Linked DNA regions of Mus musculus: region 2 is reported to be linked to region 1. Evidence: microRNA targets listed by miRTarBase, many of them from high-throughput screens and not tested one by one. Region 1 holds a microRNA gene; the other region holds the end of a gene's coding sequence.
The links. The annotated mature microRNA mmu-miR-9-5p reads UCUUUGGUUAUCUAGCUGUAUGA and lies in region 1 at 3,026-3,048, opposite strand. An mRNA with a match to its seed (bases 2 to 7 or 8) in the 3' UTR can be bound and repressed. Matches are read on the target gene's strand: a 7mer-m8 pairs with bases 2 to 8, a 7mer-A1 pairs with bases 2 to 7 and ends in A, and an 8mer does both.

Region 2: miRTarBase lists Tomm6 as a target of mmu-miR-9-5p. Seed matches in the 3' UTR shown: 7mer-A1 at 727-733.

What each region holds. Positions count from the first base shown.
Region 1 is chr7:79,503,951-79,508,326 of GRCm38, reverse strand. Mir9-3 (microRNA 9-3) reads right to left here and starts at 3,063; the gene lies at 2,974-3,063. All of the region lies in intron 1 of Mir9-3hg (Mir9-3 host gene), which reads right to left. Gm51285 (predicted gene, 51285) reads left to right here and starts at 2,991; the gene lies at 2,991-3,048.
Region 2 is chr17:47,683,706-47,687,705 of GRCm38, reverse strand. It overlaps Tomm6 (translocase of outer mitochondrial membrane 6), which reads left to right. Exons shown (of 3, transcript NM_025365.3): 2 at 418-518; 3 at 698-1,061. The coding sequence ends at 514. It overlaps Gm20517 (predicted gene 20517), which reads right to left. Exons shown (of 9, transcript NR_157366.1): 9 at 967-4,000. It overlaps Usp49 (ubiquitin specific peptidase 49), which reads right to left. Exons shown (of 7, transcript NM_198421.2): 7 at 967-4,000. It overlaps Tomm6os (translocase of outer mitochondrial membrane 6, opposite strand), which reads right to left and starts at 96. Exons shown (of 3, transcript NR_045945.1): 1 at 1-96. It also overlaps a transcript of Frs3 not described here.

The DNA of each region.
Region 1 (4,376 bases):
AGGTGTTGACATCTTTGAGATCTCAACCAATTTAGGCTTCCAACTGTACTTTCAGCCGGCGCTTTCAGGACCCACAAGCCTTTTCTTATAGAAAGAGACTAGTTAGTGCAAGTTGGAGCAGTGTAACCCAAACTTGGGCAGTCAGGCCAGAGAACGCTCAACAAATGGGACAGGATGGGTGGGGGGGAGCAAAGGCTGAGGACCCTCCAAGCTCCCCAAGGAAGCCATAGGCTAGCTAGGGAGGTTGATAAGGAACACAATTTTAAGCCTGTGTCTCGGGCTCCAAGGGTCCTGGGTGGGATTTGAACATCTCTCTGTTAGGATAAAATGGATGGGCTGGCACCCCTGAAAACCTTTTGTGGTGGGTGTGAGATAAACTCTGTGAATCAGAATCAGCAGACCCATTCCATCACCACCACCACCACCTCCTCCCTTGAGGCCCTCATCTTTTCCCTAAAGTGCAAGGTTTGTATCAGCAGATTTCCCCCTTCATAGAAAGCAGTAAAAGTCCTGCACTGTCTCAGGCTAGGACTCTACCTCCATGGGACTCCTAATGGGGGGACTCCAGCCTGCCTGGACGGCAAAAGAACCAAAGGCGACACACATTTGAACTACACCTAAGACACAGTCGTGAAGCTATGTGACCACCTTGGTGTAGGAAGGACTGGCTCTTACAAAAATAGCAAAGGAGAGGGGCCAGGGAAGAGAAGGCTCTGAGTACCGGGGCAGGCTCTGGGGAAGCCCCAGCCCATCCGTGAGACGTGGAGGCAGGGAGTGCTGGGCAAGCAGGCTGAGAGAGCTGCTCTGCTTTCCTCAGAAATGAGGTCACCACCAGCACACAGGCTCCCAGGTGCACCAGGAAGGGGGAGCAAGCCCAGTAGATGCAGTTGGGGGGAGGGAGGCTCCTGGGTCCTCAAACACGCGAGTGACCCTTCACAGGCCTAAGAAACGGGAAGGAAAAGATGAAAGGACCTCGAACCCCTTCCTTCCACCCAATGAGTCCCTGAGAAGGAGGCACAGAGACAGCTGCTTTCCTGCCACCGCGTTTAATTTTGTCTAACATTCCAAGGCAATGCAGTGAAAAACTCTCCATCTACCGTATGGAAGCCACACCTTGCCCCTCCCCAGACCCAGGAGGTTCTCCTTTGTATCACTGAATTTATTTTTACTTTTACACAAGTCACCTTTTTGTTGTTAAGATAATTTTGCTAAGCAAAGGGTGTGGGGGGGGGGGAGGAACGGCTGGTAGGCACAAAGATGGAAAAAGATTTCTATTATCACAAGGGGGCTGGGCAGGTTCTGGATAGAGGCTGAGAGACCAATCTTATAAATAACTAAGGCAAGAGGCTCTTGGGATTGAACTGGGCCAAGATGGAGGTAAGGTGACCTAGGTAGTGCCCACCTCTGCACTTCTGCGCTGTGTGTGCTACTCCCTAAGGAGTAGGCCCTCACCCCCCAGATCTGCTTCCTTAATATGTTCAAGGAAAAGAAAGCGGGTCAAGTCAGGATGGTAGCACTAATCCTTCCCAGTCAATCTGCTAAAGCATGTATACACTGATATGTGCCTTAAAGAACCCCAAAAGACCCCAAGCCTTAAGGTATGTGAACTGACTTTGGATCCTTTCTTCCCTACACTTGATAGGGTCCATAGCTGGGTCTACATCCACCACGCGGGAGCCCTAATGGTTTCCTAAGTTGCAGGGGGCCCCAAACTTCAAGATAAGGAAAGAGTAAAGGGAGTGGCAGGAAGGAGAGGGACCTGAAGGCAGAGAAACCTCAAAGGGACCTTCCGCTCCTTGTGGGGCTAAGAACCACGGACACAGAACATTGGCACGCCCCACTCGCAGCGCCCAGCTAAGAGGGACCTGGAGCTTGAGTGGCCGGTGTGCAGCATTGGGTTGCCATGGGAACGGAATTCAGATTTTTTCCCCCAATTGCTTTTTTATTTGCTAGACATTGTAATACATCTTATGTTGCCATTTATTGGGGCGGGAAGGAGAGGAGCTCCAGAGAGCCTGGCTTCCCCCTTAACCAGTTGGGGAAGTTGGGGAGGCTCCGGCCCCAGCCGTCCGACCAGAACTATAGAGGTTTAGAGGATCTGGGCTACGTCTCTCCCGCCCAGCAGCCTGCTCTTGGTTTGTATGCAGGGCAGGGCCGGTCGGTCGGGGCGGGAGGCCCCCCGCCTAGGCCCCTTGCCATTGAGTACACTCCCCGCCAGTTCTGCTCCGCTTCACGCTGCACACAGACCCCCCAACTGCACACAAAGGCAGCTGCCAGAGCCGGTGAAAAGTGATCAAATTATCAAGAACTTGACCTCACCGAGGGGCGAAGCTCCAGCAACCCCCCAGCCGTATGCTAATGGTGCTCAGGGGCTGACTCGTCGAATAATTCGATAAAGGCTGCATTGTTAGCGGCAGGGCAGCCCCCTGCCCACCCTTTTACTCCCCCTACACACTGCCTACCGGTCTCTCTCTCTCTCTCCTCTCTCTCTCTCTCTCTCTCTCTCTCTCTCTCTCTCTCTCTCTCTCTCTCTCTCCCCCTTCCTCTCTCTCTCCCTTCCTCTCTCCCTTCCTCTCTCCGTTCTCTTTCTCATCGCATTTGCATCCCAAAATCCTAGTCTGCAGCTCAGGGCGTGGATTGTTCTAGCCTGATTTATGGGGTGAAGGCAAAGGCTGGCGCCTTCCCCGCCAGCGACCCCTCTGCAACCCCAGCCCGTTCCCTGCCCCCAACCCACTCCACTTCGGGGTTCCAGCCTCGGCGCTGGGAAATGGTGATGGGGGTGCAGGGACCGAGGAGGAGGTGAAGGGAATGCCTCCAGGACACGGCAAGTGTCCCCAGGAGAGCCGAGGTCGGATACCTGGTCCCGGCGTGGCCGCTCCGTCGAGCTGGAATCCCTGGGTGGCGTGGGCTTCTCTGGGCTCCTCTGGCTCCTGTGGCCAGGGCGGCCGGCCGGGCCATCGCACGCAGAAGTTGTGAGAGTCATTTCTACTTTCGGTTATCTAGCTTTATGACGGCTCTGTGGCACTCATACAGCTAGATAACCAAAGAGAGAAACGGGCCTCCCATTCGCCGGCACCGCTGCCGCGCTGTGGGCCCCACGTGCCGCCGCCGACCCGGCGCGGGGGCCTGAGCGGACTCCGCTCCCGCAGCCCCGGGCGCACGCGGAGAGCCAGAGGGGACCGACAGACACACAGACACACGGACTCCCGCCACCCGGATCGCCCAGCTCCCTTCCTCCCTCGCCCTCGCGATTTCTCCATCCCCAGTTCCCCGTCCAGTGCGTGCGCGGCCCGCTTCGACGCCGTCCCGGGGCGCACTCGGGTAACCGGCGCTCTGCGCTTGGGCAGCCTCGGGCGCCCTGGCGGCCCCCAGCGCACTGGACCATCAGCCCTCCTCTCGCAGGCTAATCGCCCCGCGGGGAAGTGACGTCAGTCGGGGGATCGGCCTATCACGGGCTTCCATTCAAATCCCAGCCCCCTTCCCGCGCTCGGCACCACCCAGCCTTACAATGGCCTCGGCGTTCACGGCTTCTGCGCCGCGAGGACAGGGGAGCGCCTCTTCTGCCCTCAGAAGCCTTAGGCCTGCTTGCTTGGATGCACACAGTCTGGCCTTTCTCTCAAACCTCTCTGACCTCCCAGCAACGTCTTAGGTGCCTGGCAGCCACCGCAGACCACCAGAGTTAGAGTTTGAGGGAAGAGGTTTAAGGTCGAGGTCTCTCCAAGGCAACCAAGTGAGCGCAGGAGAGGCTGCGAACCGGTCACTTTATCCTTAAGGTCTCTCTTCCTTTTTTTTCTTGCCCAGCACTGTACAGACACCGCGGTAGAGACTGGGGATTAAGGGAAGGAGTGGGTGTCTAGATCAATGTATCCCATATATATTGCCTGACTTGTAGGGATTCCCATGGCATGCTTCGCTCAAACCAGGTCCTAAATGTCGGCACCAGATTGTTAGCCCTTTCCCTCTGACCATTCCTAGTACAGCCAAGGATATGTAATCAATTGTGCCCCTGCGCCTTAAAGATATCCAAGGCCGTAATTGGGCTCCTATTCACCTCCCATAAAAATAATCAGCTCCTGCCATCTTTCTGCTCACAGCACACCCTAGCCCACTTACTCCAAGTGACTTTACAGGGCAAAAGAATTGACATTTTGAGGTTTCACAGTAGAATTGAGCCTGGCCACCAAACTGAAGTCCCGTCTCAGTCTCCTAAACGTGGTGGTTTAGAGGTTGCTCACCTGAAACCCATCCTGTCTTCCTTGCTCCTGTACACCCCTCCCACTATGAGCCCTGATTCACCCCCTTCACCCATTCCTGGGAGGCAAAGGATTAAATATGAAAAATTCGATATCTCCTTCCCCCCCCCCCAGTCATCCCTA
Region 2 (4,000 bases), not on the chromosome of region 1:
TGAGGATTTGGGATCCATGGGACCCGCCGATCCATGAGACCCGCAGGGTACAAGAAGAGACCAACCCCTGCGGGTTGTACTGACCTCCACACGTGCGCTGTGTCGCGTGCACGCGCACGCACATACACAAATTAAAGAACGTCATATTTTTAAAGAAATCGCCCTAACCTAGAAGGCAGGGAAGGGGTGCCAACGCATAAGCAAATTTTAGCCCCCGCAGAGTACTAAGTTGGCCTTGGCTTGTGTTAGTAGATGCGAACGTAAAATTCTCATGTGCATATTAGGAGGACATACCCCTGTATCAGGTGTCAGTCAGCACCTCCAGAAGGTGGTGCTGAGAGGAAACTTGCCATAGTATGTCATTAGCTGCATGAGACTCTCGGACTGTAGGGTTAATGAAATGTATTCTTGACCCAGGAACTTGATCCTCAATTTGGGACTCTTTGCTGCGGGAGTCTGGCTGGCCAGGAACTTGAGTGACATTGATTTGATGGCCCCTCAGCCAGGGGTGTAGCCAGGTAAGACTTCACTTTCCCCTGCCTATTTCAGGAATCCTAAAAGATGAAGACAGCAGTATGTTCTGTCAGCTAGTCACAGAAGTAGGGAAGATTCTTGGGGTAAAGCCTTGCCCTTGTGTTTCTAGGTGAGAGCAGTTCTCCTGTGTTTCCCCGTTTCTGATGCTGTTATCTGCTTACAGAGAATGGAACTCCTGTGTATTCAGACTTTCCAAAGACAGCCTACTGTCTGTGACCACAAGATCCTACCTGAGTGGCAGCTGAAGTTGACTCCCTCTCCTTGCCTGAACCCCCCCCCACTGCCCCCCCATCCCCCAGTGTCGGCTGAGATGTTGCCTCTGCACGGTTCTGTGTGCAGTTCCCAACTTTCTGCAGAAGATGGTCCTTGCCCTTGTCCTGAAGAGTAGTAATGGTTCTTGAAAAAGATTTCAAATAAAGCCTGCACATAAAAGACAGGTATTTTATTCTTTTAATAAGAAACTTATTACAAAAACAAGGTGTAAAAAGTCCGCTTACAAAAATCAAATAAACATGACTTGTATTTCACACTCAAGAGACAGGCATGAGCCCCAAACATGATCTGCAGTGGAGATGAAATGGGAATGGGACCACCCACTTCCCAGGGATGCACACGTGCCGCAAAGCTGATTCTTGAGCAGTTCCTACTGCTGAGTCTTCCTGTAGGAAGAAGGTGGTGGTTGTCGTTTTAGTTTGCCAGGTGGGTTCTCCAGGGACCAGGGAGGCATTGTTGGGATAGAGTGAGACCTGGTGGCAGGAGTGGACAGTGATGTGTGGGTGGAGACAAACGTGTCAGGGAGCACAAGGAAGCAGCTTCCTTCACAAACAAAGGTGCTCCCTACCCTGAAATTCACACTGGTGCTGCTGTCTGGTGTTCTTCCAGGCACGCAGAAACCAGCACAGAAAGACTCCTGTACCAGGGAACCAGGTGGCGGTAGAGACGGGGTCTCCATAGTTTCATGTAGTCAATTGACTGGGTATTTTAAAACTTTTTTTATGCACCAGCCGCTTTGGAACTGGTTGTGGGTCACAGCATGCGTCGGAAAGGATTAGTGTGTCTGGGTCATAGCTGCATGACTGTTACAGATGTTACTTAAAAAAGGAAAAAGACAAAGCAGCTTTCCTGGACCTGCTGGCACATAGCTCATCCAGTCAGTTCTCTGAGGCCTACCAGTATAGCTCATTGCAGAAAAGGCTTCAATTTGACCTCCAGAAAATAATTGGGGTTGGGGGAGGCATAATTAAAAGTGTTTGTTTTTTGTTCTTTTGCGGGGGGGGGGGGGGGAGGGGGAGATATCTGGTTCTTGTGCTGGTCTGTAGTCCAGGCTGGCCTCAAACTTAGCTACATAGTTGAAGATGGTCATGAACTGCTTATTTTGCTGTTTCCATGAACCGACTCTTAGGATCACAGGTACAGGTTAGGATTCAAGGCTTTACTATGCCTGATTTTATGTGGTGCTAGCATCAGACTCTGGGCTTTATGCTTGCTAGGCAAGCACCCTACTGAGCCACGTGCCTAGTCATGCATAGGACGGGGGTTGCCATTCTCTTGTGAATCTTTAGCAGGTAGGACCTGAGTGGGGATGGCTAGGAGAAACACCCTATGAGGGAACTCAGGCCTAGAATTTACCCTGGGATTACAGATACTCTGAAGAGGCAGGCTGGAGGCCTGGTGGCACACACTTAATCCCAGAAGCTATGTATCTCTAAGGCCAGCCTGTCCTACATAGTGAGTTCCAGGTTAGCCAGGGCTACACACTGAGACTTCCTTTTTTAAAAAAAAACAATAGGGCTGGGGAGCCAGGGTCATGAGTATGAACTCGAGGACAAAGCTTGGGTTTGAAGCCATTACTTGCAGAGCCCCAAAAGGTGACCAGGAAGCAGCCTTGTAAACAGTGTGTGAGACTTAGAACCCACATGATTTTGGCTACACTAGGAAAGAGCAACTGATTTCTGGAGGAATAAAACCTTAAAGTGTGCCATGATCCCATAATTGAGCAGTTAATGACAAGATTTAAGTTAAAAGCCAGATGAGACAAAAACTTAAGACATGACAGCTTTCAGAGCTTAACTGAAGCTTCATTCAGAACCTAAGATTTAATTCCAAGTAACTTTACTGTTGTTCTTTGACGCCATGATGCTGGTTGGGCAGTTTCATTTAAGCTGGCTTAGTGGAGCTGGGTGAAACCCAGGGCCTCGAGTGCTAAGTGCTCTAGCAATGAGCATTTCCCCAGCTGCTAGTTGTATTTTTAAGTGAAAGATGCCAACTTAAGCATGGGCAGGTCTCACAAAGTGACCCCCCTGACTCATAGCTACTGAGCCTTGGTGTAGAGTGGAGCATGGGTTGACGGTACATCATAGTTACAGTGACAGACTGGATGGAGAGCAGAGGAATGTAGAAGAGAGGCGAAGCTCACAGTTCTGAGAAGGTGCTTTTCAGCTTTAGTATTGACAAAAATGACCCACCTGTGAGACCCACACTTAGCTGACAAAAAATCAAGTGACCCTAGAAAATTTCACCCCAAAGATAAAACTCTTCACCTAATTACTCTAGGAACGAAGCGAGGGACCCAGTTACCGCGTATGCTTTGCATGGTAAATTCATGAACACTTGGTGAAGTCTCACAAGTTCAACAGAAACTTCAAGCTTGGAGTGAAAGAACTGGCTGGGACTGGCCCTGACGAACACACTTGAGTCTCACTACCTTCCTCAGCCAGTCAGCACTGTCCAGGTTGTCATCTGCCCGAGAAGTGTTGAGGATGGTGGAGACGGGTCATTTCTCCATGATTCACTGCATAGTACACAGTGGCTTGTCTTACAGTCTGAAGGTTCACATGTGCGCATTGTTTTGACACTGCTTCCTGATGGTTCATGCAGAAGGACCCCAGTGTTAACGCAGACTCTACTGCCATTGGTCACCTAGCTTCATCGTGATTTAGAGAAAGCCTTTTCTCATCATTTGTGCTCTCCCAACTAACCGGAAACCCTTGCTCACATAAGCTGCAACGCCATATAGGATGTGATAGACATTCAAGAAAGGGTCACCCTCCAGAAAAGGCCAGCATAAATGTTAGGCATGAACAAAAGGCAGTGAACAACAGTGGTAGTAGTCAGACATTTGATGAATGATTGATTACAAATACAGTTTGGACAGTAAAACTCTAGAACTTGCTGGTAAGAACAATTTACATTCGTAATAAGACAAAGAAAGGAATGCTCTAAAAATCTGATAGCACGTATCCTTTAAACACTACAGACCCATAACGAAAAGGAGCCCTCCCCTTAACTCTCATGCAAACCACAATCAAGTACAAGGCACCAAATTTTATGAATTGTAGAAAATTAGTTCACAAAGCTTTATCAGTAAAACAAATATCAGATATCCTCCCACCCCCCGCCCCCAAAGTTTTCATTCTTCACCATGGACCTCTCGGCTTACTCGGGCACTGCCGGCCAGTCCACCTCA